6 separate regions of the Mus musculus genome follow, and all the other regions are reported to be linked to region 6. The links are microRNA targets in miRTarBase. Many come from high-throughput screens and were not tested one by one. Region 6 holds a microRNA gene; each other region holds the end of a gene's coding sequence. Distances are from middle to middle.

What was found. The annotated mature microRNA mmu-miR-3064-5p reads UCUGGCUGUUGUGGUGUGCAAA and lies in region 6 at 1,545-1,566, opposite strand. An mRNA with a match to its seed (bases 2 to 7 or 8) in the 3' UTR can be bound and repressed. Matches are read on the target gene's strand: a 7mer-m8 pairs with bases 2 to 8, a 7mer-A1 pairs with bases 2 to 7 and ends in A, and an 8mer does both.
Region 1: the mRNA of Cbwd1 is a reported target of mmu-miR-3064-5p. Seed matches in the 3' UTR shown: 7mer-m8 at 1,469-1,475.
Region 2: miRTarBase lists Mprip as a target of mmu-miR-3064-5p. Seed matches in the 3' UTR shown: 7mer-m8 at 1,603-1,609.
Region 3: miRTarBase lists Comt as a target of mmu-miR-3064-5p. Seed matches in the 3' UTR shown: 7mer-m8 at 3,324-3,330.
Region 4: the mRNA of Nwd1 is a reported target of mmu-miR-3064-5p. Seed matches in the 3' UTR shown: 8mer at 1,314-1,321, 8mer at 2,585-2,592 and 7mer-m8 at 3,057-3,063.
Region 5: miRTarBase lists Camsap1 as a target of mmu-miR-3064-5p. Seed matches in the 3' UTR shown: 7mer-m8 at 2,155-2,161.

The regions. Positions count from the first base shown.
Region 1 is chr19:24,916,416-24,921,503 of GRCm38, reverse strand. It overlaps Cbwd1 (COBW domain containing 1), which reads left to right. Exons shown (of 15, transcript NM_146097.3): 14 at 354-483; 15 at 802-1,588. The coding sequence ends at 911. Among named protein-coding and RNA genes, the nearest start is that of Foxd4, 18 kb to the right of the region's middle.
Region 2 is chr11:59,774,716-59,779,715 of GRCm38, reverse strand. It overlaps Mprip (myosin phosphatase Rho interacting protein), which reads right to left. Exons shown (of 24, transcript NM_001368931.1): 24 at 1-4,200. The coding sequence ends at 4,129. Among named protein-coding and RNA genes, the nearest start is that of Gm51899, 8.0 kb to the right of the region's middle.
Region 3 is chr16:18,403,644-18,408,731 of GRCm38, forward strand. Comt (catechol-O-methyltransferase) reads right to left here. Exons shown (of 6, transcript NM_001111062.1): 6 at 3,239-4,397. The coding sequence ends at 4,194. It overlaps Arvcf (armadillo repeat gene deleted in velocardiofacial syndrome), which reads left to right. Exons shown (of 18, transcript NM_001272029.1): 13 at 1-96; 14 at 191-278; 15 at 492-545; 16 at 817-902; 17 at 1,459-1,578; 18 at 1,964-3,433. The coding sequence ends at 1,566. Among named protein-coding and RNA genes, the nearest start is that of Gm15764, 7.4 kb to the right of the region's middle.
Region 4 is chr8:72,711,199-72,716,286 of GRCm38, forward strand. Nwd1 (NACHT and WD repeat domain containing 1) reads left to right here. Exons shown (of 19, transcript NM_176940.5): 19 at 395-3,548. The coding sequence ends at 693. Among named protein-coding and RNA genes, the nearest start is that of Sin3b, 9.5 kb to the right of the region's middle.
Region 5 is chr2:25,925,426-25,930,513 of GRCm38, forward strand. It overlaps Camsap1 (calmodulin regulated spectrin-associated protein 1), which reads right to left. Exons shown (of 18, transcript NM_001372499.1): 18 at 1,413-4,603. The coding sequence ends at 4,301. Among named protein-coding and RNA genes, the nearest start is that of Kcnt1, 50 kb to the left of the region's middle.
Region 6 is chr11:106,781,192-106,786,279 of GRCm38, forward strand. Mir3064 (microRNA 3064) reads right to left here and starts at 1,568; the gene lies at 1,502-1,568. Ddx5 (DEAD box helicase 5) reads right to left here. Exons shown (of 13, transcript NM_007840.3): 4 at 5,035-5,088; 5 at 4,876-4,941; 6 at 4,204-4,345; 7 at 3,945-4,105; 8 at 3,689-3,861; 9 at 3,223-3,333; 10 at 2,910-2,971; 11 at 2,768-2,827; 12 at 1,278-1,502; 13 at 1-1,065. The coding sequence ends at 659.

The DNA of each region.
Region 1 (5,088 bases), not on the chromosome of region 6:
TAAGAAAAAGGAAGTAATTCTTTATTTTAAAAAAGTAGCCAAGCATGGTATTAATCCCACCACTTAAGAGGCAAAGGAAGGCAGATTTCTGAGTTTTGAGTCCAGTTTTGTCTATAGAGTGAGTTCCAGGACAGCCACTGCTACACAGAGAAAACCTGCTTTAGGGGGTGGGGAGTGGTATCAGTATACACAAAAGTTTTAAGGAATTTAAAATATGCAAATAATTGAATCAAGTGATATTTTTATTGCTCTGTTATGAGTTTGTTTTTTGAAAAGTAGTATTTTCAAATTTGATGTACTATTTCTGCTTGCAAATTTGAGGTAGAACTGAGTGATCATTGTTCTTTGAACAGGGACTGGTGTCTATCAAAGACAAACCACAGCAAATGATTGTGCAAGGCATCCATGAGCTGTACGACCTGGAAGAAAGCCTAGTGAACTGGAAGGATGATGCGGAGAGAGCGTGTCAGCTGGTCTTCATTGGTGGGTAACAAACTTCTGAAGGAAAGTGCACAGCCGGGTTGGAAGGAGACGTACTGTGTTACTTAACCAGATTAACTGAGAAGCTTGTCTAGTTGTCTGAATCATGGATAATGTAAGATTTTGTTAGAACTTTACTCTTTAAGACAACTTAGAACAGTGCTTACTTCAAGCACTAACTTGGTTTAAGGCTTAACTAGAAAGTTGTGAAAGGAATCGAGCAGTTACTGTTGATTTTGTAGAGTGCCTGCGTTTAACTTTGGAATTGATAGGTGAACAATTCTTTTAATAAGCACAATCACTGTTTTGTTGTATTCTCAGGTAGAAATTTAGATAAGGATGTTCTTCAACAACTCTTCCTCACTGCTGTGGCAGAGGCAGAAGAGCAAAGGACAGCACCAGGCAGAGATGGAGTTTGTCCATCGCACTAGAAGCTGTTTCTTACCGGAAGAACTGACGAGAAAAACAAAGATGTATTTAAATCCTGGATCCACTACCGCTGTTGTGATTTGGGAGTATACGTATAATAGTATTTATTTTATAAAAACACATAACATTGTAGTAAATTATTATAAAAAATATCTGATATTCATAAAATATATCCTCTGGAGGTTTTTTTTGAGGCAAGTATTTCACAAAAGTTCCAGAATTTTCTTTGAAGTTTAAGTATGACTGCTGACAACTTATCCATCATTATTTGTAAAAATGATGGCAAACATTTTCATTTTCTCTTAAAAACTTCAGGTTATTGCTGAGATACAATGAATACAGTGATAGTAACAAAAAATTGCTATCATTATATTTAAAACCAGCTTAACCTTTATTTTTATGCTATGTGTGTGAGTATTTTGCCTGCATGTATGTCTGTGTACTTTGCACATTCAGTGTCTGAAGTCCAGAAGGCACCAGATCTCCTGGAGCTGAAGTCACAGACGGTTGTAAGTCTTCATGTGGGTGCTGTGAACTAAACCCAGGTCCTCTGGAAGAACAGCCAGCACTCTTAACTACTGAGCCATCCATCTCTTCAACTCTCTCACTGTGTTTTTAGGAGAATGAGTTTTTAATGTTCCTAAAGAGTCAAAGAAATTAAACCATCTCTTACAATCAGTAATAGTGTGATGGTACTTTGGCTCTTTTTTTTTTTTTTTTTTTTTTCAAAACAGGGTTTCTCTGTGTAGCCCTGGCTGTCCTGGAACTCACTCTGTAGACCAGGCTGGCCTTGAACTCAGAAATCCACTTGCCCTGCCTCCCGAGTGCTGGCATCAAAGGCGTGCACCACCACGCCCGGCTGGTACTTCGGCTCTTTGTTCTGTTTTACACCTAGAAGATTATAATTGTTGAACTTTAAATTTTTAGTCTTATTGCTGGCATTAAATTCTTCCTGCCTATTTTGAACTGTGTTAATTTTCTGTATAATATGAGAAATAATGAGGTACACTCCTTTACTAACCATAACTAAGGATAGCTATCTGTGTGTGTGCATATCATAGTGCGTGTGTGTGTGTGTGCATGTGTGTGTGTGTGTGTGTGTGCGCGTGTGTGTGCGCGTGCGCGCGTGTGAGTGTTTGCACACATGTCAGCTTCTGAATTTCTAGCCAGTTCTCATGTCTCTGCCTCCCATCTCACTGTAGAAATCTGGAGCTGGGATTATAAACCCAAAACAAGTCTGAATTCTAATTGCCAAAGTTTTATGGCAAGCAATTTGACCTTGTAGCTCAGCCATCTTACTGGCCTCACAGATGACCTTTTAAAAAATATTTCTTAAATTTATGAACACGTGTGTTGGTGCCTGTGGAGACCTGAAAAGGGCATCAAGACCCCTCAAGCTGAGATAGCATGCAGTTATGTGTCACTGCAGGCCCCTCAAGCTGAGATAGCATGCAGTTATGTGTCACTGCAGGCCCCTCAAGCTGAGATAGCATGCAGTTATGTGTCACTGCAGGCCCCTCAAGCTGAGATAGCATGCAGTTATGTGTCACTGCAGGCCCCTCAAGCTGAGATAGCATGCAGTTATGTGTCACTGCAGACCCCTCAAGCTGAGATAGCATGCAGTTATGTGTCACTGCAGGCCCCTCAAGCTGAGATAGCATGCAGTTATGTGTCACTGCAGGCCCCTCAAGCTGAGATAGCATGCAGTTATGTGTCACTGCAGGCCCCTCAAGCTGAGATAGCATGCAGTTATGTGTCACTGCAGGCCCCTCAAGCTGAGATAGCATGCAGTTATGTGTCACTGCAGGCCCCTCAAGCTGAGATAGCATGCAGTTATGTGTCACTGCAGGCCCCTCAAGCTGAGATAGCATGCAGTTATGTGTCACTGCAGGCCCCTCAAGCTGAGATAGCATGCAGTTATGTGTCACTGCAGGCCCCTCAAGCTGAGATAGCATGCAGTTATGTGTCACTGCAGACCCCTCAAGCTGAGATAGCATGCAGTTATGTGTCACTGCAGGCCCCTCAAGCTGAGATAGCATGCAGTTATGTGTCACTGCAGGCCCGTCAAGCTGAGATAGCATGCAGTTATGTGTCACTGCAGACCCCTCAAGCTGAGATAGCATGCAGTTATGTGTCACTGCAGGCCCCTCAAGCTGAGATAGCATGCAGTTATGTGTCACTGCAGACCCCTCAAGCTGAGATAGCATGCAGTTATGTGTCACTGCAGGCCCCTCAAACTGAGATAGCATGCAGTTATGTGTCACTGCAGGCCCCTCAAGCTGAGATATCATGCAGTTATGTGTCACTGCAGGCCCCTCAAGCTGAGATAGCATGCAGTTATGTGTCACTGCAGGCCCCTCAAGCTGAGATAGCATGCAGTTATGTGTCACTGCAGACCCCTCAAGCTGAGATAGCATGCAGTTATGTGTCACTGCAGGCCCCTCAAGCTGAGATAGCATGCAGTTATGTGTCACTGCAGGCCCCTCAAGCTGAGATAGCATGCAGTTATGTGTCACTGCAGGCCCCTCAAGCTGAGATAGCATGCAGTTATGTGTCACTGCAGGCCCCTCAAGCTGAGATAGCATGCAGTTATGTGTCACTGCAGGCCCCTCAAGCTGAGATAGCATGCAGTTATGTGTCACTGCAGGCCCCTCAAGCTGAGATAGCATGCAGTTATGTGTCACTGCAGGCCCCTCAAGCTGAGATAGCATGCAGTTATGTGTCACTGCAGACCCCTCAAGCTGAGATAGCATGCAGTTATGTGTCACTGCAGACCCCTCAAGCTGAGATAGCATGCAGTTATGTGTCACTGCAGACCCCTCAAGCTGAGATAGCATGCAGTTATGTGTCACTGCAGGCCCCTCAAGCTGAGATAGCATGCAGTTATGTGTCACTGCAGACCCCTCAAGCTGAGATAGCATGCAGTTATGTGTCACTGCAGACCCCTCAAGCTGAGATAGCATGCAGTTATGTGTCACTGCAGACCCCTCAAGCTGAGATAGCATGCAGTTATGTGTCACTGCAGGCCCCTCAAGCTGAGATAGCATGCAGTTATGTGTCACTGCAGGCCCCTCAAGCTGAGATAGCATGCAGTTATGTGTCACTGCAGGCCCCTCAAGCTGAGATAGCATGCAGTTATGTGTCACTGCAGGCCCCTCAAGCTGAGATAGCATGCAGTTATGTGTCACTGCAGGCCCCTCAAGCTGAGATAGCATGCAGTTATGTGTCACTGCAGACCCCTCAAGCTGAGATAGCATGCAGTTATGTGTCACTGCAGGCCCCTCAAGCTGAGATAGCATGCAGTTATGTGTCACTGCAGGCCCGTCAAGCTGAGATAGCATGCAGTTATGTGTCACTGCAGACCCCTCAAGCTGAGATAGCATGCAGTTATGTGTCACTGCAGGCCCCTCAAGCTGAGATAGCATGCAGTTATGTGTCACTGCAGGCCCCTCAAGCTGAGATAGCATGCAGTTATGTGTCACTGCAGGCCCCTCAAGCTGAGATAGCATGCAGTTATGTGTCACTGCAGGCCCCTCAAGCTGAGATAGCATGCAGTTATGTGTCACTGCAGGCCCCTCAAGCTGAGATAGCATGCAGTTATGTGTCACTGCAGACCCCTCAAGCTGAGATAGCATGCAGTTATGTGTCACTGCAGGCCCCTCAAGCTGAGATAGCATGCAGTTATGTGTCACTGCAGGCCCCTCAAGCTGAGATAGCATGCAGTTATGTGTCACTGCAGGCCCCTCAAGCTGAGATAGCATGCAGTTATGTGTCACTGCAGACCCCTCAAGCTGAGATAGCATGCAGTTATGTGTCACTGCAGGCCCCTCAAGCTGAGATAGCATGCAGTTATGTGTCACTGCAGGCCCGTCAAGCTGAGATAGCATGCAGTTATGTGTCACTGCAGGCCCCTCAAGCTGAGATAGCATGCAGTTATGTGTCACTGCAGGCCCCTCAAGCTGAGATAGCATGCAGTTATGTGTCACTGCAGGCCCCTCAAGCTGAGATAGCACGCAGTTATGTGTCACTGCAGGCCCCTCAAGCTGAGATAGCATGCAGTTATGTGTCACTGCAGGCCCCTCAAGCTGAGATAGCATGCAGTTATGTGTCACTGCAGGCCCCTCAAGCTGAGATAGCATGCAGTTATGTGTCACTGCAGGCCCCTCAAGCTGAGATAGC
Region 2 (5,000 bases), 47 Mb from region 6:
TGCTCCAGCCAGTTCCCCTAAGAAAAACACCCCGAGAAACCTGAGGGCAAGGTGCCAAGAGTCCCTCATAGTACTGGTTTTCCTTGAGTGGCTCTATGCAAGTCTCACAGAATACTTTAAACAAGAATCAGAGCTTGCTGTGAGTGTGGGCAAGGATATCTTCAGAGTCTGTTGAGTAACCAAAACTTTAAAAGGCATTACTTATTAACATAGTCTTTTTTGTTGTTTAATTTTTAGGCAGTTTTTACTGTGTAAATCTTTTAGAACTCTCTATGTAGACCAGGTTGGTCTTGAACTTAGCCTGCTTCTCTGCCTCCCAAGTGCTAATTAAATGTGTGTGCTACCATGCCTCGCCAACTAATGGTCTTGACATTTGAGAGGGGTTTGCACTGAACACTGCCTTTACATACCTTCAAAAGGGGTATTTTAAAACTCACACAAACTTTGCACAAAAGTTCCTGCACCATGCCTTAGAAATACTTAATATTGCTTGCTCTGATATACAGGAAAGGCTGAGCAAGTGAAGTGCAGGCCATAGGCTGTCCTGTATGTATGCTGGGAGCTCTAATGAGAAAGGCTGTATGAGTCCCTACACTGATAGCCTCTAAGTAGCTTACTAGGTGATGTCATCTTTACAGCATAGCATGAACAGCTAACCCTCCGCTGGCCAAGAGGTAACTACTGACTCTCCACTAGCAGAGTCTGGGGTTTGGGTGTTACTGTTGTCCCTGTAGCTGCCAGCAGACTTTGGTGTGCAGCTTGCACTGGCTTACTTACATGGAGTATGGCATGAGTGGGAAGGCTGCATAGGGCCTCTGGGTGCTTATCCAGCCTGTCTTTGAGAGCCAGGCTTAGTTGGAGGTCAGGTGTGTGGGGCAGGCCTGCAGGAATCTAACTAAGCTGATGCCCTGGTTCACACCCAACAGTGCAGGCTGTGTGCTAGCCAGCTACTTCCCTCGGCGCCAGCTAGGTGGCAGCAGTGAGGCGGTGCTTTCTCTGCAGTTCCAGGGTAGAAAGAAGTCAGCGCACCATCTCCCCCTGTAGAGAGGTTAACAGTAGTACACATTCCTTCAAATATCTTTCATACCCATTTGTTTCCTAGTCAAATCTCTCAGGCTCCCTTTGGACAAATGTTCCAAAGACCACAAGTGTGCTCTCTGTAGTGCTGTAGTTGAACCCCAAATTTTATATATTTTATATCCATGCCCTTAGCCCACCTGTATGTGAGATAGTCTTGCTATGTAGCCCAGACTGACCTTGTACTTTGGAGCGTCAGGTGGTAGGAGTACAGACATGAGTGAGTGCGCCCAGTTCAGTGTTCTGCTAGATCCAATGGAGTTTGCCAACTCTGACCTTTGTTTACACTCAGTGAATGCACACATTCCTAGCGTTCTTCCCTCTGGGGACTCCCTACTTCATGGGGCTCTGGCCTCCTATTATTGTGGCATTGTGGCCACAACCATACTGGAAAAGGTGCAGCCAGTAGCCCTGTGTGGCAGATGTGCTCGGCATCACACGTGCAAAGATGAAGTTTTTTTTTTTTGTTTTTTTTTGTTTTTGTTTTTGTTTTTTTTTTTTGAGACAGGGTTTCTCTGTATAGCCCTGGCTGTCCTGGAACTAACTTTGTAGACCAGGCTGGCCTCGAACTCAGAAATCTGCCTGCCTCTGCCTCCCGAGTGCTGGGATTAAAGGCGTGCACCACCATGCCAGGCTTGCAAGATGTAATTTAAGCATATATTTACATTCACTGTCAAATGGTATGTTCCCTGTAATGGTAGTTTGCTTGTAGATGCTGGTAGACCACAAATGTGTAAAAGAAAGCATGCCACTGACTGACTGTACTGGGAGCAGCCTGTGACTTCTTGATCTACACTACCCATTCTCAGCCAAGCATCCTCTTTTACATATGCCTGAACCAACTCCATTTGCACATTCCATACCTCTTCTCTGAACACACCAACTTCAACTTCTTTCCAGGGAATGGGAAGCCTGTAGAGGGGTCAGGCAAAAGTGAACCTGGCTCAGGGAGTGAGGGAAGGGAATGGACAGAAGACATGTGGCAGTCTAAAATAAACTGCTGCAGTGGGCCGGCAGTTCAGGGACTCAGGAAGACCAACTTCTTGTTTGGTTCATTTTTGCCAGAAGTCACCATCAAGAAAATCAAGATGCACCCTGATCCTGCACATGTTACTGCTCAGACTGGCGTAGACAGTGGGGGATGATCCAGGAATGTCTGCCAGTTCAGCATTTGGCCAACATACCAGATACCCACACGTGAAACAAGCCCTAGAGCAGTGTGTGCTCTATCACAGCAAAAACGAGCCTGCAGTAGGAGCCCTGAGTGACAGATTAGATGGGTGCAGCGTGCCTGTCTCCCAGCCCTTGCCTCTGACATGTAGGTACTTGTACCTTCAGCAAAGTTCATATCCTAGGATTCTGAGGTGAAGAGCAAAAGATCAAGTGTCCTTTTGAATGGTAGGCTTGGCATCTTCCGCAGGCTCTTTGTAGCATCCCAGGAAGCACAAGGCAGGAAGATAATGCAATGGGGCCAGAGGGTCCCAAGGGCAGCAGGATAGCTGCAAGGAAACCGTATGAGAGAACAGGAGTCCTCAACGCACAACCCCAGGCTCCTGAAGGCTAGCCCACTCTGAGCTCAAAGCTTGTTTTAACAGGTCTGACTTGCCCATAATGCTGAAAACATAAATGACCACTGAGCATGTGCCAGAGTGGAACTTAAAAACGTGTGAAAAGGGGAGCCCAGGGCTTGCCTGCTGGTCAGTGGCACACTTTGGTATGTAACAAATCCGTTATCTTGAAGTTTCGACCTGCCTGTCTATTAGGCCAGCTAGACCTTGTACGTCAACTCATGTAGAACCTTTAGGGGACTCATGAGTTGAATTTGTACGCTCAGAGACCATCCATCTGACCCACTTAACACTAACAAGCCAGGACTAAGAAGCCAGATCGCATATCTAGCTATGAGGCTATTGCCTCTCCCATCTGACATGGGGACTCCTGTGTGCTGCATCTTACAGTATGAATGTTTTCTTATGAGAATAGAGAAAAATGTTTTTGTTGGTTTGTTTTTTAAAGAAAATGCTGCAGACTGCTTTGGGTAGTTTCAGGTCCTGTTCAGCTAGAAAAGCAGAGTTAGCACAGGCTCCCTGTCAATGGCTCCATGAGAAGCAGACAATTCAAGGGACCCTTCCAGAGCCCAGACTAACGAGGGTCCTGAGCACACACTGCTGCTATCACCAGTCCTGACAGTCTGTCTTTGCACACGGGCTTCTCCTCACCCTGCCAAGCAGCATGGCAGCTTCTTTTCAGACAGATTAAACCCCAGCAATGTTCCCCTCCAGAGGACTTTGAGGACCCATCACACTTGACAAGTCTGAAGCTTCAGGCTGCAAGTCACTCTTCCGGGCCACCAGAAGACCAGGATTAGCACAGCAAGGGAGGCACGAGCGGAGGAAGGAATGAGAGGGGCCGGGGCTTTTGTGCAAGATTTAATAAAAAACCAAAATAGGAATGGTTGCTTTCAACATTTTCCAGGTTGTGAAGGATTTGCCGGATTATCTGGGTATGGTTCTAAGCTGCATCAGTGGCCAGGTACAAAATGCTGTCCCCCTCCCACATCAAAAGGAAGTGGGCCAGGCTGGACACTTTCCTAGGCCCCTCAGAAATCAGGCCAGCCTACAACATTCGGTGGCTCTGCTCTGACCATCAAGGGTGGTGCTCCGCTGTGTGCGGCAGAGCAGAGCCACTGGCAGGTCCCCACATGTGCACTCTGAGGCAGGGCTAGCTTATTAACAGGCTGCTGTGCCTTAATACTGACAGTGAGTGTGCTGGGAGGACAAGGGGGCTGCTCAGGTATCAGCGGGGAAACCGTCCCACTCTACTGCTTGCGCGTGACTAATCTGAGAATACCATGGGAAAAAAGCTGTGATAAAGACAACAGGAAGTTGGAATTGACAGGGAGGGACTGGAGCAAGCACCCCACAGCAGTCTCTCATGCATCCATCCCCACAGTTAATGACAGCAACAATGAGATGCACAGGTGAAGATGAAAACCACGCTTGGCTTGTGCTGCCACCAGCTGGGAAGGATGTGTCAGTGGAATGGATGCAGCTAATCTTTCTTCAAGTCCCTGGATTCAAAGAGCTTCAAGCGCTCCTGCACCGTCAGGCCTTCCTTCAGACTCTGGTGGAGACAGAGAGGAAGGAGCAGTTAGGTGTTGGTGCAGCAGGCGTAGTGGGCTTCAGTAGCAGGTGCAGGCGAGGGATCCTGAGATTAGTGGGCATGCGAGGGCAGAAGCCCTGAGAGAATCCCTGGAGAAGTAGTGTGACTGGGATTTGCTTTTTCCTGTAAAAATGTACTTGGGTGAGAAAGGGGAAAATAATAAAGAGAAACAAGACCATGTGTCATAGCTCAGTTCTAGCTTAGGGTTGGTTCTTCAGACAAAACCACGAAACACTTGGGTGGAGGACTGGAAACCTGGGCACCTATCATTCTTCCTATATATGGAATGTGCATGTCTCATTCCTTTGTCTTTATGAACTTACTGCTTTAAGACAAGGGGAATCCCCAACAGACCACCAGATAGAGCTATCAACACATTACACACACATACACATATACACACACACACACACACGCATGACTTAACTCCTGTGATCTTGGTATTGTTTTTTAAGGCAAAAAACATTTTACTAACTGGGGAACAGAATATTTACCACATTTCTCTTAAATATCTTTCCTCTTCCCCTAAGTTTTCATTTCTGGAAGAAAAAAGGAACTCCAGTTCTTAGAGAACTGGCAATCAACATATTTTTAGCATGGTCAGGTCAACCTTGATTCTTGTTGGCAATCAACCTTGTCAGGCTCAGCCTCGCTGTAAACACAGGTTATATTAGGAGAGGGGCAGTCAGTGCTCCACAAGGTTGAGGCCCAGCCTCCTGCAGGGTATGAAGAAGGAACTGTGCTGCGGTTAGTGTCCTTAT
Region 3 (5,088 bases), not on the chromosome of region 6:
GCCAAGGCAGCATCACACGTGCTACAGACTGTATGGAGCTACAAGGAGCTGCGTGGAGCCCTGCAGAGGGATGGCTGGACGAAGTCACGCTTCCAGGTACAGCTGCCCCGCCTTCTCTCTTACTTTGTCACGTCTGATCCCAAGCAGTTTCTTAGGCCTTAACTCTTGCTTGTGTTTTGTGACTCCTCAGTCTGCTAGCACTGCCAAAGGACCCAAAGGGACACCAAGTTCTGGCGGCTTTGATGACAGCACACTGCCACTGGTAGACAAGAGCCTTGGTGAGCACAAGCAGGGGAGAGGGACATGAGACTTACCCTGAGGCTTAAGGGTAGCTCCCACCTGCTAATGCACAAGGTAGGTGGGGTTAAGGAGATAGGACAGACTCCTGACAGAAGACACTGAGCACTGTTCTGTGGCGAGCATGTCAGCATGTCTGTCCTGCCCTCCCCATGCCTGCACACTGCTCATGGACACCTGCTCATGCCTTGCAGATGGGGAGAAGTCAAACACCCGGGATGTGATCCCCATGGATACCCTTGGTCCAGGTGAGTGCAGGTGTGCAGGCAAGAGGACTGGGGAGGACCACCCGGTTTCATGGTGTAACCCTGGGCGATGCCGAGGCCTTGCTATGATAAGATGTCAATTGGAGAAAAGATAGGTGGTTGATTTAGAGGCCTCAGGACTGGTTGGAGCTGGCACTTAGACCAGAAGTCCCCCATCCCAGGGCTTTCTGTATTTGGACTGAAGGAAGATCACCTATCCCCATGGTGACTTCCCCAGAACTCCATTTATTCCATGCTCTGTTCCACCCTACAGATGGTTACGCCACAGTTGACCGGAGGGAGAGGAGGACACTGGGCAGTGACTCCACAGGGGACACCTCTGAGAAAGAACTATTGAGAGTGAGTAACAGCAAGCAAGTGTCCAGGGAGGCTTGTCAAGAGAACAGCCAGATAGTGTTGAGCCTGATCAGAATTGGAGGACACGGCTGGAGTGGCACTCACTTGCAGGGCCCAGGAAGTAGCCTATATATCCATCATCAATCAGACTTCAGCACTGAGGGGGTCTGGTGCACGCACCTGCCGCAAAGAAGCAGACAGGGGCAGCTCTGCCTGGCCACAGGCTGCGTAGGTCCAGAGAGTCCGAGCAAACGGATTTGTACCTTTCTCTTACATGTGTATGGGCAAGGTGTCTACTGTGGTCCCCTGGAAAAGGCAGCATCTACCACCTGTGTGCCAGTATCCTGGCTTCACGTACCAGCCTCTGGGTACATTCATGTGTGAGCCATAACCAACCCCAGAGCTTGGCTTCCTTGTACTGCCTTGGCAGGCCCTCCATGCCACCCCTTCCTTATATACATCAATCAGCCTGAACCAGTCTAGCCTACCCTTAGTTGCAGTTAACCTGCTTTTATTTTCTGCTTCTAACTCCTGTCTGCCCACCCACCATGCACTGCAGCCCGATCCTGGCAGGAAGGCCCCTCCGCCTGGGCCCAGCAGGCCCTCGGTCAGGCTGGTGGACGCCGTGGGGGACACTAAGCCTCAGCCTGTTGACTCCTGGGTCTAGCTTGCATGCCTGGTACGTTCCTTCCTCTGGTTTGCCCATCCTTGGACTAGGGCTCCGTGTTCATCTCTGCTTGCTGCATGACTGAGCTCCCTATGTGATCTCTGGCAGGACTTGACAACAGCCCTGTTCCGGTCTCTGGAGATCAGGGTCCTGGGGAAACAGGCCCCCTATTTCCTCAAATACCCCCAGCACAGGGCCCTGTGAGGACCCGCAAGACAGGACTGGTTCTGGTGTCAAGGGTCTTGGTATGGCCCATCCCTCACTCCACAGCTACTGCTTCTGTATGGCCTATCAAGGCAGCTCCCTGTATGGAGGTCCCAAGTCACCTTGCTACACTTTGCTGCCTCTTATCTATCTGGGCTCCCGACTAAACATCTGTCTTTGCCTTCCTTTGCAGGGCCCTGGCCCAGCTGTTTGTTCTTAGGGATCGCATCGAGGTAGCTGGAAGAGGGCCAGAGGGCCCGCCATCTTGAGCAGAACCAGTCTTGGAGCCAGGAGCCCCACCCTGCTGTGGCAGGGTGGCCAAGCCTCTTGTCCTACCTTACCCTACCCTCTTCTCTACTCTTCTGCTCTAACTCTCCAGGTCTGAGTTAGCTGTTTACTGACATGGTGCTGTGTGGTAGGAGAGGAGGCTGGGGGGAGGTCCCCATGCACAGCCACAGAGGAGCAAATACAAGCCTGGATTGGAGGTCCTGGAGCAGGCAATGGGACAAGTAGGGGGCCTTGGAAAAGAACTTGGGCTCCCAAGGGTGGCTGGAGTACTACACTGCATGTAGGCTGACCACAGGGAGGGCTGCTCTAAAAGAGTCCAGACAGGGAAGTTTAGGAGGCAGCCAGATTGGGGGTAGTGGCAAGCTGTGCTTGTCACCAGCACCCCCATCCTTGGATTCCTGGAACACCTTCCCTCTGCAGCATACTCCTCCTAAGCTGCCTGTGGCTGGGGCCACCCTGGCTGTTGCATCTGCCTAGAACCTCAAGTAACCTCGGGGCCTGACTGCCGGCAGCAGTGGGGGGAACTGCTGTTCAGTGCCTGCTGTTTGTGACTTTAAAATGAAGAAAACTGACAAAATGCATTAAAAATGAAACCAAAATAAGACTATCAACAAAAATTGAAATTTTTGTAAGAAAATTTAAAGATTAAAAAAGCAGCAAAGAACTGCCTGTCTTCTGCCTTGGCTCACCAGGAGAGGGCACAGTCCTGTGCTAGCTGAGCCACCACTGCCCCCTGGTGAAGATACAGTTCCCTCAAGTCCCATTGCAGGGAGGGGGTGGAAGGGGTATGGGGGTTGTGCTCTGCCCCTGGCCTCAGGCACGTCCCACTGCTGTCACTCCTGGCTCCTGTGTGCCGGCTGACCAATATGGGCATATGTGGGAGCAGACAAGATGGAGCTGACCTTTGTTTCTAGTCTAGGAAATGGGCCCCTACTGAGGCCTTGAGGAGCCTCTTGAAAGAGATGGGGGCTAGGGTGACTCTTAAGCTTGGGTTGGCACTTCCTCAGAATCTGGGTGCCTGGCAGACATGCCTCAATGGTGTGAACTGGAGAGACTGTTTATCCCAGAGACATCGGGGACAGCGTGGCCCCATGCCTGTTTAGTCAGAGATGAGTACAAAGGCTGTTCTGCGCCAAGTAAGAGCAGTGTGGTAGCTGAAAAGAATAACTCAGTGAATTTCTTATATCCAAATATTTAGATCTTTAATTTCTTTTATAATATAAAAGAGATTATGACTTTTTTTTTCAAAGTATTTCTATGTAGCCCTGGCTGTCCTGGAACTCACTGTGTAGACCAGGCTGGCACAGAACTCAGATCCATCTGCCTCTGCCTCCTGGATTCTGGGATTAAAGGCATGCGCCATCATACCTGAAAAGTTTGTGACTCATTCTTAAGATGAAATGTGGTATGAGTTGCTGGTGACAGTACCGTCTGAGTCGTTGCTGCCATTGGTGACAGCCGAATGGTATCTGGATATGTTCAGTTTCCTGACTTCTTGCTGAGTGATGGCAGTGCCTAGGGATCCCACACTGAAACTTTGTAAAAAATCTCCTCTTCCAGTTAGTGAGGCCATCAGGATGACACCTGCTTTGATTTTTTTTTTTTTTTTTTTTTTTTTTTTTTTTTTTTTTTTTTTTTTTTTTTTAAAAGATTTATTTATTTATTATATGTAAATACACTGTAGCTGTCTTCAGACACACCAGAAGAGGGCATCAGATCTTGTTACGGATGGTTGTGAGCCACCATGTGGTTGCTGGGATTTGAACTCTGGACCTTCAGAAGAGCAGTCGGGTGCTCTTACCCACTGAGCCATCTCACCAGTCCCCCTTTTTTTTTTTTTTTAAATCTCCCTTTTTGTTCTTGGGTGCAGAGGATTCACCGTGAGGGGTTTTGCGTGCCAGGCACGCACTGTGATCTACTGCATCTCTGGCCTCAATGCAGCCTTTGATGCACAGGTGTTTTCCAGGGGTATTGTAGTGGTTTGCATGGTGAGCTCACTACCTTTAATGTGCCAGTGTATGACAATCTGGAGCCACAGGCCCTGAGGAAAGGCCCCAGAAGCATAGAGGGGGTCAGAGTGAGTGTGTGTCATCGTGCAGAAGGGAGCTGGGACGGAAGCTCATCAGGCTGAGTGGTCAGGACTTCACGGGGCTGCTGCCTGGACCCTGGTAGACTGCCTTCTCCAAGCCGTCCACCACTTTCATGTACTCCAGGTATGAGCTGTAGTGTGTGCACTCGAAGCTGCTGCTCCCCCTCACATACGCCAGGAAGTCAGGGGTTCCCGGGACAATGACATTGTCAGCTAGGAGCACCGTCCCCTTGCGCAGCAGGCCACATTCCTGCAGGGGACAGACAGGGAGGGTCAGGAATGCTTGGCAAGCACAGTGCAATCCATGGGCAGCTGCTCTCCCATGGAACCACTTCCAACTCCTATTCTTCCTCGAATCCATCCCCAGCCCTAGAGGAGCATGTAGGCCACACAGTGAAGGTTTGGAGGTTCGCCAGTTTCCCTCCAACACTCTATGCCAAGAATATGGCATCCTCACCAACAACCCTGCCCTTGAGGATCTGCTCTGGACTTTTTTTGGGCCAGGGAAGACACTAGGTGCTAGGCTCTGAGCAGGAGGGAGTCGTTCCTGGGCCCTTGGAGCAGTGGGTCTAGAACTTGTGATTGTGAGAATCCCATGTAGGATGCTTGTCTATCCTCTCTGGGAAGTATATCAGCTGATAGCATACAAATAACTGAAGTACCTGCCAAGAAAGGGGTGGGAGGGGGCAGGGGTAGGGAGAGCCAGGAAACAGGACACTTGAATATCTGTTTGCCCAGGAGGCTTAGGGGGTTGTTTTTAACATAATCATGAAACAAAAGATAATAACAGCAGTTCTGTCTGATGGGGTCACGTCTGTAATCTCAGCGGTCGGGAGGCTGAGGCAGATTCATTGGTTCCAGGCTACCCGGACTATGTAAGACATGTAAGGCACTTGTCTTCAAACATACTGGAAGCAACCCAAAATGGAAAGTAAAATCCA
Region 4 (5,088 bases), not on the chromosome of region 6:
TTTAGCTGGGCCCCTCAGCTTAGGAGGTGTATGCAGGACCTGATGGCCTGCTGCCATAGCACTCTTCTCACATGGTCTGTAGACCCCTTTGGAGACAGAACAGCCTTCTTCCCTGGGTCTCCATGAGGGTGGGTGTATACCCATATTCTATGGATGGTAATCATGTACTGGAGATGATGGACTTTGAGCCCAATGATTAGGTCAAACAGGGAGCCCCAGGGAGCATCCATGTCTGCCTCCAGAGCGCTGGGACTGCCAGTGTGCACCTCCACATGCATGCGTGTTAAGGGATTGAATTCAGGCCCTGTGTTTGCAGGCCAAGCACATTACCAGCTGCAATGTCCTTCCATCTCTGGGCCCCATTTTCTCATGGCTTGCCCTTTCCTGGTCACAGGCACTCTTTTGGCTGTCCAGTTTGTTCATGCTGTGATCAACCGAATCATCCCTACCTCCAATGGCTTCATGGCCCCCACAAGCCACGGCTATCTCATCCGTGAGCGCTTCCAGTGCCCGTCAGTCAGAGCCTCCCAGCAAGACCCTCTCAAGAACTTCAAGAAGGCAGTGTGGCTGGTAAAGACCAGGCAGAGGGAAGAGCTGGCTGCAGCAGAAGCCTCCCAGGATGCAGAACCAGTGGCCGTAGAGGGAAAGGAATCAAAGTCAAATAAACGCTCACAGGTCTGCCTCATACTCTGAAAGCCTACCAAGGCAGGGGCTTCAGTGACTTAGCCATGGCTCACCTGGTTGAAGCCAACTGACTCTCTCTGCTGGTGCCATGTGGACCCCCCCTTCCCCTCAACCATCTTCCATTTTTCCTCATAGCTTTTTCTGTGGGTTCTGAAGGCCTACTTCCTTCAAGTGAGCAGCAGCCTGCATCTCCCACCTTACTCTAAGAACTTGGCTCAAAGGCTTGGCTCTGCCTCTTAGTTGTACTGGTGCAATTCTTATCCCTGAGCCAGTTACTAGCTGTGAGAGGATCTGAAATCATTGTAGGGACCAAGAGTGACCTTGTCAAAGTGTTGTGTGATGGAGAGTGAAAGACTGCTGGGATGTGATGGGTGCTGTCCTGTCTTCATAGCAGTGAGCCTCCAGTAATAGCCCATAATCCATACTGCAAAGCCACACAGAGCATAGTTAAACACACAGCATAGTTAGTCTGTCTGCAGCTCCTGCTGTGAGACTCAAAATGGTGTGTAAAAAAAATCCTCCTAGGATCTGGTGGTGGCATAGCTTTCAATCCCAGCACTCAGGAGGCAGAGGCAGGAGGATTCCTGTGAGTTTGAGGCCAGCCTTAGGTTACATAGTAAGTTTCAGGACAGCCAGAGCTATGTAGAGAGAAAAGACTGGTGCTGGCTCAGGGCTTAAATCACCTTGCATCCCAGAATACAAGAACATTGTACACACTGTCACCAACCTGTAAGCCTAGCCTCAGGGAACAGGCTATTTTTGTTTCTTCCACTGCTGTGACTGAAAAACTCGACCAAAAGCAACTTAGAGGAGGAAATGGTTCATCTGGCTTTCACCCCCAGGCCACACACCCAGTTCTTTACTTAGGGAAGTCAGGGAACGAACTCAAGCAGGAACTGAAGGCAAGCCTGCTGGCTATTGCACACAGCATGACCTCTGACTAGGGGACTCAGCCGCGGTCATACAGCAGTGTCTCCGTCATTATCAATTAGTGATGGTCAAGAGACACCATGACCATGGCAAAGCAGTTAATGGGGTTGGGAGAACTGTTTATAGTTTCAAAGGCTTAGTCCACTGTCATCACGACAGGGAGCCTGGTGGCACACATGGCAGGCATGGTGCTGCAGGAATAGCTGAAAGATATATCATGAGAATCCTTTTAAACAGTTCCCTCTCCGGTGGCCAGACACTCAAATATATATGCCTCTGGGAGCCATTCTCACTCAAGACACAAGCCTGAACCACAGAGGATGTAGTTTCTGCCGTTCTCCTGATTAGCTAAGCTTTTTCATAAGCCCCAGAACCACTTACCACTCACAGTGGGCTCCCTCCTCCATCAGCTAGCAGTCAAGACAATGCCCCATGGACAGGCCCACACACCAGTCTGACCTGGGCAACCCTTCAATTAAGACTTGCTTCTCAGGTGACTCTAGGCTATGTGAAGTTGACAGTTAAAGCTAATAAGGTCATAGAGGATCCTGAGCATTCTGGCTAGCTAGCTAGACACATCTGTGAGCTCTGGGTTTGATTAAGAGACCCTGCCACAATGAATAAGGTAGAAGAGAAGTCAATGATTATTCCTGACTCAACCTCATGCCTTCAGATACACATCACATGTACCCACATGGGTGCTCAGGCACACATGAACACTCATGATGCCCACACCAGCCTCCATGTGTAGCCAAAAGTGCTGGCACAGTCTTATCCTCCTGCCTCCATTTCCTGCTTGGACAACTATAACCACTGTGCCCAGCTAAGATGCTGTCTCACTCAGTTCCCTGACACATCAGGACATGCTAGCATCTACCTGCTTTGCTGCCAGACCTTCTGCCTTGAAATGGCTTTCTCCACAGTGCTCACAGCCATCTAGTGAGCCGGTCTTGTGCCTGGAGCCTTGCTACAGCCAGACCTTAGAGGTGAGAGGCCCCCTTCACGCCATGGGACACTAGACAGACTCAGTGAAAGCAGCAGTAGAAACAGCTTGTTTTTCTGTGTTGGATACAGAACCAGGACTTGAAGGCAAGTGCTATATCTCAAGCCATACCCTGAGCCCTTACTGGGGGAATCCAGGAAGGGGCTTTACTGCTCAGTCACATTCCAGCTTCAAAATGAGGCCTTTGAAGATACCTTGTTCAGTTACTTCCCAAATAAGGATTCCAATGCATGCTTTAGCAATTCTGAAAATGTTAGTGTCAAATTTTATTTTTTTAAAAAAATTACTGGTTATGGCAAACAGAGGTTGTGTGCACCTTTAATCATAGCACTTGAGAGGCAGTGGCAGTGGCAGTGGCAGTGGCAGTGGCAGTGGCAGAAGCAGAGGCAGGCAGATTTCTGAGATCAAGGCCAGCCTGGTCTACAAAGTGAGTTCAGGACAGCCAGGGCTATACAGAGAATTCCTGTCTCCAACAGCAGCAGCAGCAGCAGCAACAACAACAAAGGTCTGGAGAGATGGCTCAGCAGTTTGATCCATCTTAGCCCCCACATCAGATGGCACACAAAAGGCCTTTTGGCCTTTGGAGATACCTGCCCAAACATACACACACACACACACACACACACACACAGAATTAAGATCAATATTTTTAAAAATTATGGGCCAATGAGCTGACTCAGTTGGTAACAGCACTTGCTACTCAGTCCCGATGGGCTGAGTTCAATCCCTGGCACTCAGAGAGTGGAAGTAGAGAGCCGACTTCAGAGTTGCTCTCTGACTCCACACATTCACTAAGGTAAGCACCATGGTGATGACACCCCCACCATGCACTCATATGCATACCAATAGTAGTAATAATATAATAACAATAAAATTAAAGATCTATTTTAAGCTGTAATTTAAAAATATATGCACATGTATTGAACAATAATTTGTTTGAGATTTTTAAAAATAATACTTTTTTACTAACATGTACTAATTGTAATATATTAATGAAGACCCACAAGATATTTTCAGCATGCAAGTAGCTGCAAACTTGGTCTTTGTTTTAAATCTACCTTCTGTCTCTGTCCAAAGCTGGTCCTCACAATTCCATATCCTTTTAAGTCAGGGTATGAGAGGGAATGAGGTTCGTCACTGTGCAGCCAACTTACTCATTGAACATGATGTCCTTCAGTTCTGTCTGTTTTGCTACAAATGATAGTCTCTCATGTTCTTCTCTATGGCTGTGAACTGTCCTATCACTGAGTGTACCACAGTCCTTTGTCCACCCACTTTGGTGTTGGTGACTGCTAGTTTAGGAGTCTCCAGCCATACCATCTCTGTTTAATTGAAGGACCTGTAGTTTGAGCAGAGAACCCCTGAAGGGGAAAGAAGGCCACATTTTTGTTAAGACTTTTCTATGAATTGTGGACATTATATCAAAACTGTGGAAAGTTTTGATGCACAGCTTCTGGCCTAAAATTCCAATGTCTGGGGCATGGTCACGCAAGCATTTAGTCCCAGCCTTGGGAGGTAGAGGCAGGAGGATCTCTGAGTTTGAGGCCAGGGTGTTCTACATAGCAAGACCCTGTCTCAAAACAAAACAAAACAAAAGAAAATTCTTGTGTTCATCGAAACAACCTGAAGGAGATTAAATTATGAACTATGTTCTGGGTTGGTGGCTGGGGAGAGCACAGGGTATGAGGAGCATGTTAGCAGTTTCTGCTGCTGTGTGAATGTCAGAGTGTGACCCCTGGTCATCAGAGCATGACCCCTGTTCCTGTAGGCACTGTGGATGAAAACATGCCACACAGACTATGCTCACTAAACCCACTGCAGACAGCTGGCTATTCCAGGGTTATTTAGTTGCTGTGAGCCAAACACCTGACTCAGTAGTTTAAACAGGGAAGGGTTTCTTTGGGCTTAGGGTTTGCAGTTCCAGTCCACCACGGTGAAAGCCCGGGGTAGGGGGAGGGGAGGGGCTCATAGCTGTGGCTCACATGGGGGAGATACTTTGTTGTTTAAAATCCATTCTAGATCTCTGGTCCATGGCATGGTGCCACCCCTGTTCAGGGTGAGTCTTCTGTCCTCAGTTAAAGCTCCCTGGAAATGCTCTCACAGACTTCCAAGGGAGTCCATATCTAGTCAAAGTGACAGTGACCAGGGTTGGTCATCCCTTACCAACCTGGCACATACATCCCCTTACATCACAGTCGCCTGCCCTGTCCCTAGGCCTTCTTGGCCATCTCAAAATGCAAGGTGCATTTGGTCTGTCTCTGAATGTGCTCAAAATAATTTTATTTTATTTGTGTGTAGGGGCAGGAGGTAAAGCTATGAGGTATATGTGGATCTTGGAGTACGGCTTGTAAGAGTTGTTTTTTTTCCCCACCAAGTGGTTGTTGGGGATCAAACTCACTGGGGTCAGGCTTAGCAGCAGGCACCTGCATACACCAAGCCCTCTCACCAGCCCCTCAAATGCCCAACATTGT
Region 5 (5,088 bases), not on the chromosome of region 6:
GCTACATCTCCCCAGAGCACTGTTCCTGCCAGGGTCTGCTCTCCTGGGAAAAGAAACAGTAAACTGGCTGCTTGTGAACCAAACAAACAGTTGAGGAAACAAACACAAAAACAGCTTAAATGTCACTATGAGATAGCAGCACGACAACTGTCACAAGCTCAAAACTGCAGCTATGGTAGGTAAATGGACTGGTGTGAGTGGATAAGGCCGTGATAAAGGTGAGCCCAGCAAACACCTTGTGAGAATTCACTTAGCACTGCCTGGCTGTCCCACTCCCGTTTAGGAAGATCTACCTCGAACTACAGATCCAGCATAGAGACCAAAAACCAAGCTGTCTTTCAAAACAATAGCTCTATCAGTTCAACTTAAACACACAGAAGCCCATGTCTTCAGCTCTAGACCTGGGAGCTTGGCTGGTCCTAAATCCCCACACAACAGCAAATACAGGGCCATTCTCTCAGGCCACCCAGCTTTGTGTCTACAACTAGTAGCAGTGGCTACCCAGGGCTTCCATCAGCCCACATAGTCAAACATGAGAGACCACCCTTCCCTCCCAAACACAAGGGACTACTCTCCTGTCTATGGAGAGTTTCTTTCTCTATATGCCAGAAAATACGACAGGGCCTTTTCCAGCCAGGAGACAAACCTGAGATATCACAGATGTTAGAGTGGGGACAGGCACCCTCTGAAGCTTGTGGTGCGCAGAGGGACACCAACCAGGATCTTTGCTCAGGCACCAGCTTTCAGAACAAGTGTGACGAGGGTCTCAGTAAAGATGCTACCATACTGCTGCAAGGTCTGTACCACCCACCCTAACTACAAAGAACTACTACACCCTGACTTGAACCATTCACGGGGTGCAGCCTGGGCTACATGTTCTTCCTTACCATGCAGGTGTTGCTATGTTCTCCTTACCACTTGGGGAACTAGGGAAAGTAGACCCTGGATGGTAAAGACACTGACTGTACTTTCCCAGGCCACAACCTGGCAAATAGGAGGAGGGATGACAGGGCTAGGGGAGGAACCTGTCATCCATGCCCTAAGTGTATTGTCAGGGAAGTTTGCATCACAGCTCTGACATCCCCAGCCATACCCTTGCACAGGCCTCCCAATGGTGGCATGGTGGCACCGGAAGATGCCGAATACCTCTCACAGGTTTGAGAGCTGACACAGCTTTTGTCAACACAAACCTAGTTAGACCTGGGAGAAACACCCACTGAGGAGCGGCCTCCATCACGTTGTCTGTGTGGTTTAGGAGGGTCGAGCCTGTGTGAAATGGCAGCAGAGCAAGCCGGGGGGAGCAAGCCAGGGGGCTGCACCCATTCCCCACTGCCTCTGCCTCAGCGCCTGCCGTGGCTTTCCTCAGTGGTGGATTGTAATCTGTGAGCCAGACAAACCCTTTCTTCCCCAAGTTGTATTTGGTCGTGGCTTTTATTATGGTTTTCATTTATCACAGCAACACAAAGCTCAGAACACCAGTGATACCAGATACCAAAAGCACCTCCAGAGTGCACCTCAGACACCAGGAAGACCCTGAGTCAGCAAGGTACAAGTTTATTGCCAAGGAATCAGTGAGAAACAAGAGGATGCTGGGCATGGCTCGTTCCCAGTTGGGGCTTGTGACTTGGCCATAGTCACAAAACAGGAGTTAGAACTGGCTTTACACATGTGGTACTGGACACAGATAGAATGAAATCACCAATAGGCTCAGGTAACCAAGATCAAAGCCATTTCACTAGGTAAACCAGCACCAATCTATAAAGGTTTACTCAAGTTGATTAACTTTCAACAAGAAAAATGGACTTTTAACACTTTCTTCTTCCAAGTAACAACCATAGTTTCAAACAATCTAGAAGTAAATTTTGTATTATGCCACTTTTCAATGTTGCCTGAAGCAGTCTGGGCCTTAAAAGTCTGATTGGAGATTGTATTGCAGGAACACACCGAGAATACCAGGTCAAAAGGTCACACTGGAAACGCTATCTTTGGCATGCATACACACGTGTACACAGGCCATATGCACATGTTTGTGTGCACATACTCATATACGCACACACAGGTACATCCCACATCGACACAGACATGTAGACCTGCACATCTAGTTCTGAGATTTTTTTTTTTTATTTTTTCGAGACAGGGTTTCTCTGTGTAGTCCTGGCTGTCCTGGAACTCACTTTGTAGATCAGGCTGGCCTCAAACTCAGAAATCCGCCTGTCTCTGCCTCCCAAGTGCTTGGATTAAAGGCGTGCGCCACCACCGCCCGGCTGAGAAATATTTTTAATGCCAACCGACCTGGGCTCCTCGGGGGGGTCTGTTGTTACTAAGGAATGAGCTGCATGAGTCGTCATGTATTCAATTTCTTGGCACTTTCTGCCCGAAAAGCTGAGTAGCCTTCCCAGCACAGTTGGTCAAGACAGTGTACCCACACCCTGGAGGCTCCAGATCACCACCACAAAATCCTGTACCGGAAACTTCCTAATTAAAAAAAAAATCAAAACTACTTCTGTGTCATGGAACACAGAAGGCACGAGTGCTTCTGAGCCATCAAGCCACATGGCCTCCACAGCCCGGCCTTGAGACACTGGCACTGTACTTCACATGCAGACCCTGCGTTCTGAGACAGCCTTCAGGACAGGCCACATGCCAAGTCACCGTATTAAAAGTCGAGCAGAAATGCAACTTCCTGCTCTACACCAGGTCTTCCAACTCTTCATGAAAAATAAATTCCTAGGTAACCCAAAAGTCATGCGCAGCTGCCCTGAAGCCAGAAGATGTGGGACACTGTCAGCAGAAGGAGTTGTGACAACCACACACATGGTTAACAGAAAGCCAGCTCATTACTTTATTATATTTTAGTGCTCTCTTAAAATAAATATGGTAACATCAAGTGCACAGTGAGAAATGAAGACACACAGGGCATCCAGTGACAGGTGGCCACAGACTTTAATGCTCATACAGCACAGCGCCACCCCTGACTGGATACACAGTCACCAAGGAAGAGAAGACAAGACCTCGCCTCACGCCTCCGGCGTTCTGTCCCATGCTCCTTTCCTCTGTCTACATGACACTGCTAGCGCTAACACTAAGATGTCTGAGTTCCCTCTATGATCTTCAAGTCTCTCCTGCAGTTAAGACAGATTCAAGTAACACTCTCAAAAAGAAATGTGCAAAACTACAAGTGGCTCCAGGGTCTTCACATAGCTGATCCATCGCTGGGGCACCTCTGCTCCCCAGGAACGCCTGTTCTGAGGCAGGCAGCTGCCACAGGGGCCAGCGGGGAAGAGACCCAAAGCAGCTACACCATTCTGAAATAACCGCAAATAACCACCAAGTTTTAAAAGAGGCAAAAAGCAGAATTACCCACCTCACCTGAGACTGCACACTGCACTGAGCACGCTGTTCCTCCAGAAGCAAGAACCGTGGTAGGTAAGCCAGGCCTTCACAGCACCACAAAGGAACCGGCAGCCAAGGGTGGAAAGTACGCTACTATACCAAAATCTGCCTTTATCAGAGTGAACATGCCAGCACATTCCCCAGACCTAACCAGTGGTGGCTAAGCCGGCTTAGCTGCCGGCTTCCAATGAGGCCAGCATCAGCTAGCAGTACCCACAGCCCCCAACTGTGTGGCAGAAATACTCACTCCACATATGTAAACGTCATTTTAGCAGAAGACAAACTTTACCGATTTCAGTGCTTTTAGTGAACTGACATTTTCAGTAAACTTTTTCTGAGCAGCAAGGAACAGGTTTTTTTTTTTCTTTTCTTTTTTTCAGAATCTTAGAACTGGATATAAAGGTTGGCAGTAGACACAGTCAATAAATATTATACAATTTCTAAAATGAAAAAGATTTCCCATACGAACTCCTTTTATGAAGACATTCAAACACCCTGACCCGAATGAGCCTTGGCCCTATAATCACGCACGATTACAGCTGGCCAACATGGGGCATCAGGCAATGTGCACAGGGGTGAAGGGAGGCCAGAGAGCAGATCACATTTAACTTATTCTGAAGAACTTCAAGTGAGGGGCCCACAGGCCAGGATCTCACTCCATGGTGTCCCTTATTCTGAGGATCTCAGTGGTCAGCAGGGCCACAGCAGCCATGCCCATGAAAGCACAGGACTCACTCCTGCATATGTCATGCCCAGCATCCATGTGTGCAGGGGAGAGAGCATCTTCTCTGTTCTCTAGGAACCGCTGTAGAAAACTGTCCATGGCTCATCAACTTCGTACCAAGTAGATGAAAATAATAAATAGGGATCCCGTCAGCACAACCTCTCAGAGTCCTGGTTGCCATGGTCACTTACGAGTCTGGGTCTTCTTTGGCACCGTGGGCCGCTTGGGCTGCCACAAGTGGTTATGGATCGTGAGTGCATCCACGCTGACTGACATGGTCTTGGCTGGGATCAGGTTAAACTGCTTTCGGTCTGAGCTGTATTTATATAGTTTGTCAATCATCTTCTTGGTGATGCTTTTTGGCCCCGTGCCAGTGAGTTTGTAGATTTCTTCAGTGTCGGGTTGGTAGCAGTAAAGTGCCCTGAACTGGCAGCCCGCATCTCGGAACAGAATAATATAGTGGTTGGCATCACACTTCTCCAGCTCCTGGGGAGTAGGAAGAGATGGAAAACACTGAATGTCACTCTTACACCCTAGATTCCCATTGTTGTCCAATGGGTAGGTATTGTTCCAAGGCAGTAAGGGTCCAATAAACATCCTCTTTTAAGACAGACAAAACAGGTTCAGCACAGCCTCCCCACTCAAAAAAGCTATGGCTGGCCAATGAGATTTTACTAAAGACTCTGAGCAAGCAAGGAAAAATGCTGCTGAGACAAACTGAGGAATCATATAAAAAGATGCTTCACAGCTCCATGCTGTGGAGAAACGTAAATCAAAACCAAGTGAGCACCAGTTCACAATGAATGCTAAAATAAAGAAGACTATGAGGGCAGATATGAAATGATGTAGTCAGCTGCTCTCCACAGTGGACGTGGAGTCTGTTCTCAAGGAAACTGCGAAAACTGTCTGCGGCTCATCACACTGTACCAAATGACATCCTGTGACCACACTCTCTCCAAGTCCTGACTACC
Region 6 (5,088 bases):
ATTACTTAAAACTGTTTTGCAAAAGAAATCAACATGTATTTATATAGTTACTGTCCTGTAGTTCACTCTTAAGGAAAATAGGCTATTAAATGACTTACTTCCCTGATACTGAAAAATGACAAAGCTTTTATCCAATAAATCTGGAATTATAAAATCCATTGTCTCTAACTTCTTCCCATACAAACAGATCATCCTAAGGGCCTTCTGAGTTCCTCTCCTAAATCCAGGAATGGGAAGTAGTCAACTTTCCTTGTGTAAAAATAAACACCAAAACAAAAATCCCCCCCAAAAACACTATCTAAGCCAAGTTGTACATGACATTATATATGTAAAATAAAGTACAATTTCACTTAATTCAGTCTTCAAATATCTTTTATTGGAAGGCCATGCATTGCCTTCATTTATTGTATTTGAAATCACTGTACAGTTACTTTTGTGAAAACACTGCCTGCATTTTCTAGTACAAAAAAAACCTAAAAATTGTTTCAGGAATGTAGAGAAATATCCAACTTAAATAGCGAAAAAAGTGCACCATAATTACTGCTGCACTGCAGTCATTTCTGCATTTCCCATGTTTCTTAAATAACTATCTTGTCTGATAACACACAATATAAAGAGCAATTATGAAAAACAGACATTTACATATACTTCTAAAGTCTTATTGAGAATACCCTGTTGGCATGGGATAGCCAATCATAGGCGCAGCAGCTGCGGTAGCAGGATATGCATATGCCTGTTGGTTCATACCATTGTGCATATTTGCAACATTACTTCCATATTGCTGAGTGCTATCATAACCGTTCTGGTAAGTCCCTGTTGGATTACCAGTCCTAAAACTGGTCTGTATGCCAGCAGATACAAAATTACTTCCAAAGCTCCCATTGGTGTAATTTGCAGCACTGTAAACACCATTCTGAGTTTTAGCCCCAAAATCTCTCTTAAGCAGATTAGAGTAGCCTCTGTCATAGTTTTCCCTGTCTCTAAAGGTATTAAATCCACCCCTTTTGCCTGCAGAGTATCTGTCACGACGATCGTCCTTCATGCCTCCTCTACCCCTGGAACGACCTGTCAAGAAAGTAAGTGGAAATTGATCAATTTTTATCTGTGGCATAAGTGTGGTAAGATAGGAGAGAGTTAGATAGCTCTATTTATGTTGGGTCTTAAGTGCTTTTAGATTCTTTAGGTTTCAAAATAAGAAGTACTCATTCTTCCGATCCCACTTTGTAGACAAGAGGTAACTGCCACCTACCAGAAACATCTCTTACGAAGATCCTTACCTGAACCTCTGTCTTCGACCAACTGAAGCAACTTGGGATTAATTGCTTGATTAGCTTCCCGAAGCACAGAGATAAGGTCGCTCACTTGCTTTATGTTATTAGGTGTAAAGAAAGTGTATGCTGTGCCTGTTTTGGTACTGCGAGCAGTTCTTCCAATTCGATGAATATAATCCTCTGAGGAGTTAGGGTAGTCATAATTGATGACAAATTTCACATCTTCCACATCTGTAAGGTGTTGCAGTGTGGCAAAATAGCAATGTACGGAGTTTTGCACACCACAACAGCCAGACCAAAAATAAAAAGTTAGACAATTGTATTCCCAAGAAGGTACGGGCTGAAAAAAATACAGTTAAAATGGTTATCCATTTCCTGTAGGAACACCATTGAGGTAGGAAAAAAGGGCAGGGTAGGAAAAAAAAAAAACCAAAACACCCAAAAAACAACAAAAAAATTTGCACATGTCAGCTGTCTTAACACCCACCCACTGACAGCCTATCAAGGGAATGTGTGTTCTCCTTAGCACATTCCCAAATTGACAGTCCCCTTACAGATCATCAAGTGACATCTGAATGCTTCTGCGCAGTAGGGCCAATTAAAAGTTTCTCAGCAATCTCTTCATGTGCTCATTTTTGAGGACCTTTTAACAAAAATGTAAAGGTCCTTTGCATTACACTCATCAGAAGTTCAAAACTCTGGCCACACTGCTTGTCTTGCCAAGACCTTACAACTGCAGCTGCAAGAAAAACATACCTGTCCCCCAAAAGTTGTTTTAATGCACTGTGTCTCGTCTAGGCAAGCGCTTCCAAGAAGCCAGGATTCACTTGAGAATGTGTCTCTCTCTGGCAGGTCTCGACATGACGACTACTGTGTAGGTGAGGGAGGAACTTTCAAGGCACTTTCTTTTCCCACTGACTATGTGTGAGAAGTTGGTCCTGCTCTAGGTCTCATGTGCCAGTACTCACCAATTTGTAAAAGGCTTTTAAAGCTGCTCTCTCCATTTCAAACTTGAACAAAAATTTCATTGAACATTGAAGTTTGGAAATATTTCTTCGACATTTCAGCAAACTCACTGAAACTCAAAGACCCACAGATCACAGTGAACAGTTTGAAACAATGCTGTACCATGGCAATCATGCAAAGCATGGGACAGATGAAATACCACGGCAGTGAACTGTGAGGTAACTTCCATTTTTTTCCCCCGGAGAGAACAGTTTATGGGGCAGAGGTGGTATGTTCTGCCCTTTGAAGATTACTGGCACACTTTCAGCTTTTCACCTCTCTAATCGACTGGAAGCAGCCAGCCGATCACTAGTCCTCCATCCCCCTCGAGTCCTCCGATTGTCATGCCTAGGCCTTGCCACAAAGACTGCACCTTTATGTGAAAAAAACTTAGAAAAAATGCAGGTTAAAGAAAGCAATAAACTTTCTTTAAAAAAAACTACATGGAGATCTTCTGGGAAACCAAGCCATGAATTCGAGTTTGTACTAACCTAGCCCTCTGGAGGCCACATCGGTAGCAATCAGAATAGGAGCTTTTCCATGTTTGAATTCTATAAAGACAACCATGAATAATCATTAATGCAAGCAAATGATGTTATCAAGCTACAAACTAATCTTATTTGAAATACATACCATTTAGAACCCAGTCACGTTCCTGCTGACTCTTGTCACCATGGATGCCCATGGCAGGCCACCTATACCAAGAATTAAATTATCAGTAGTATACCCAACTTAAAACTCTTGTCAAGACTCTACCAATATCTATTCCCACTGTACTTCATCTTGGCCAAGTGTTTTCCCACTAAGCATTGCAACCCAGAGCCTACTACAAGTCACTGGAACGAATCCATACAATTACCCCTATATCACAGCGCATGATTCCCAAAAAACACTAGCCCCAGATCAAAGTACTTTTAAGTCTGCTTTGACTCAGGAAACCACATACCCATCTCTCCTCATTTTTCTGGTAAGTTCATCACATCTTCTTTTGGTTTCAACAAAAACAATAGTTTTATTCTCCTTCTCACTCATGATTTCTTCCATCAGACGAATAAGCCTAAAGATGAAGAAAAACTCACCATTTTTAAAAGGATATAAAAACAAAACCAAACACAACCCTGATTTTTTGCTTAGTGAATCCAAATGTCAAACCCACTAAGCCACCACACATACAGATTTTCAGGTGTATCACTTTATGCGTGCTTGTGTAGTGACTAGGTTCAAAAACTATGAGTGTTTTCCTCATGCAAGCCAAGCAAGTTCTTCATATCACACCAAGCCATATCACCAACAAATGGACTTTTAAAAGAACATATAGCACACTACCTTAATTTTATTTTGAGACAATTTTCAGAATTGATTACTCTTAGTTTATGTAAGATTTTTCTCAATTTGTAAAAATGTAAACTCACTTTTCATCCTTTTCGACATCATGACATACATCCACAATCTGAAGAATGTTATGGTTTGCACTCAGTTCCAGTGCACCAATATTGATATGAATATAGTCTTTCAGGAAATCTTCAGCAAGCTGTCTTACTTCTTTTGGCCAAGTTGCACTCCACATTAGTGTTTGCCTATCAGGCTGAAGATTTAAGGAAGCAAGTTACACTTCAATCTTAAGAGCATTCCTAGAACTGATTTTTATGATAACATAAAGATACTTACTCTTATTTGATCCACAATTTTCCTTATCTGGGGTTCAAATCCCATATCAAGCATCCTATCAGCTTCATCAAGGACAAGGTAAGTTGTTCTTCTCAGATTGGTTTTCCCACACTCTAAAAAGTCAATCAGTCTTCCAGGTGTTGCAATACAGATTTCCACACCTTTAATTAAATAAATAAAAAGGAGTAGATGCTTTAACTATAATACACAAAACCATCATCTCCATCAGTGACAAAGATCCCCCTTTATGGTCACACACCTCTTTCCAAATCACGAATCTGTGGTCCTTTGGGAGCACCACCATAGATGCAAGTAGACTTCAAGCGACAAGCTCGACAATATTCAGCAGCCACTTGCTGCACCTGCTGTGCCAGTTCTCGAGTTGGTGCCAGCACCAAGCACTAAGTTTGAAAAACAAAAAAAAGTGTTTAGTATAAAACAGTTTACTAAGACCCTATGTCTTCGTGTGTTGGGAATTAGAATTCAGGTGGTCATAAGACTTTTTTTTGAGACAGTGTCTCCTGAATTCTCCAGTTTCTACCTCCCAGGCACTATTCTCAGGATAAAATTTTTGTGTGTGGAAGCACATGGAGAAACCAGAAGGCAACTTTTGCAAGTTGGTCTCTCCTTGTGGTAGTTGATCTTGATCAGGCTCATGACAAGTATCTATAATTGGCTGATCCAACTAACTGTCTTTGGATACTAATTTTTTCCCCCCGAGATAGGGTTTCTTTGTGTAGCTCTGGCTGTCCTGGAACTCAGAAATCCACCTGCCTCTGCCTCCCCAGTGCTGTGATTAAAGGTGTGTGCCACCACGCCTGGGCTGGATACTAATTTTAAGTGGCTAGTTTATACTGGCAACCCTATATTCCCTATATGAAAGTCAAAGGAGTTTTAGCAAATATGGTGGGAAACTTAAGATAATACTTACAATAGGCCCATCACCTCTCTCTAGGAATGGCTGGTGGTTTATGTGTACAATGGCAGGCAGCAAATACTATTGAAGAGTAAAAATAATAGAAATTGGATTAAAATAGTTATATATCTAAGGTCACCTCTGCCACAATTTATCAAGTTTTCCTAGACTTACAGATAATGTTTTCCCAGATCCAGTCTGAGCTACTCCAACCATATCCAATCCACT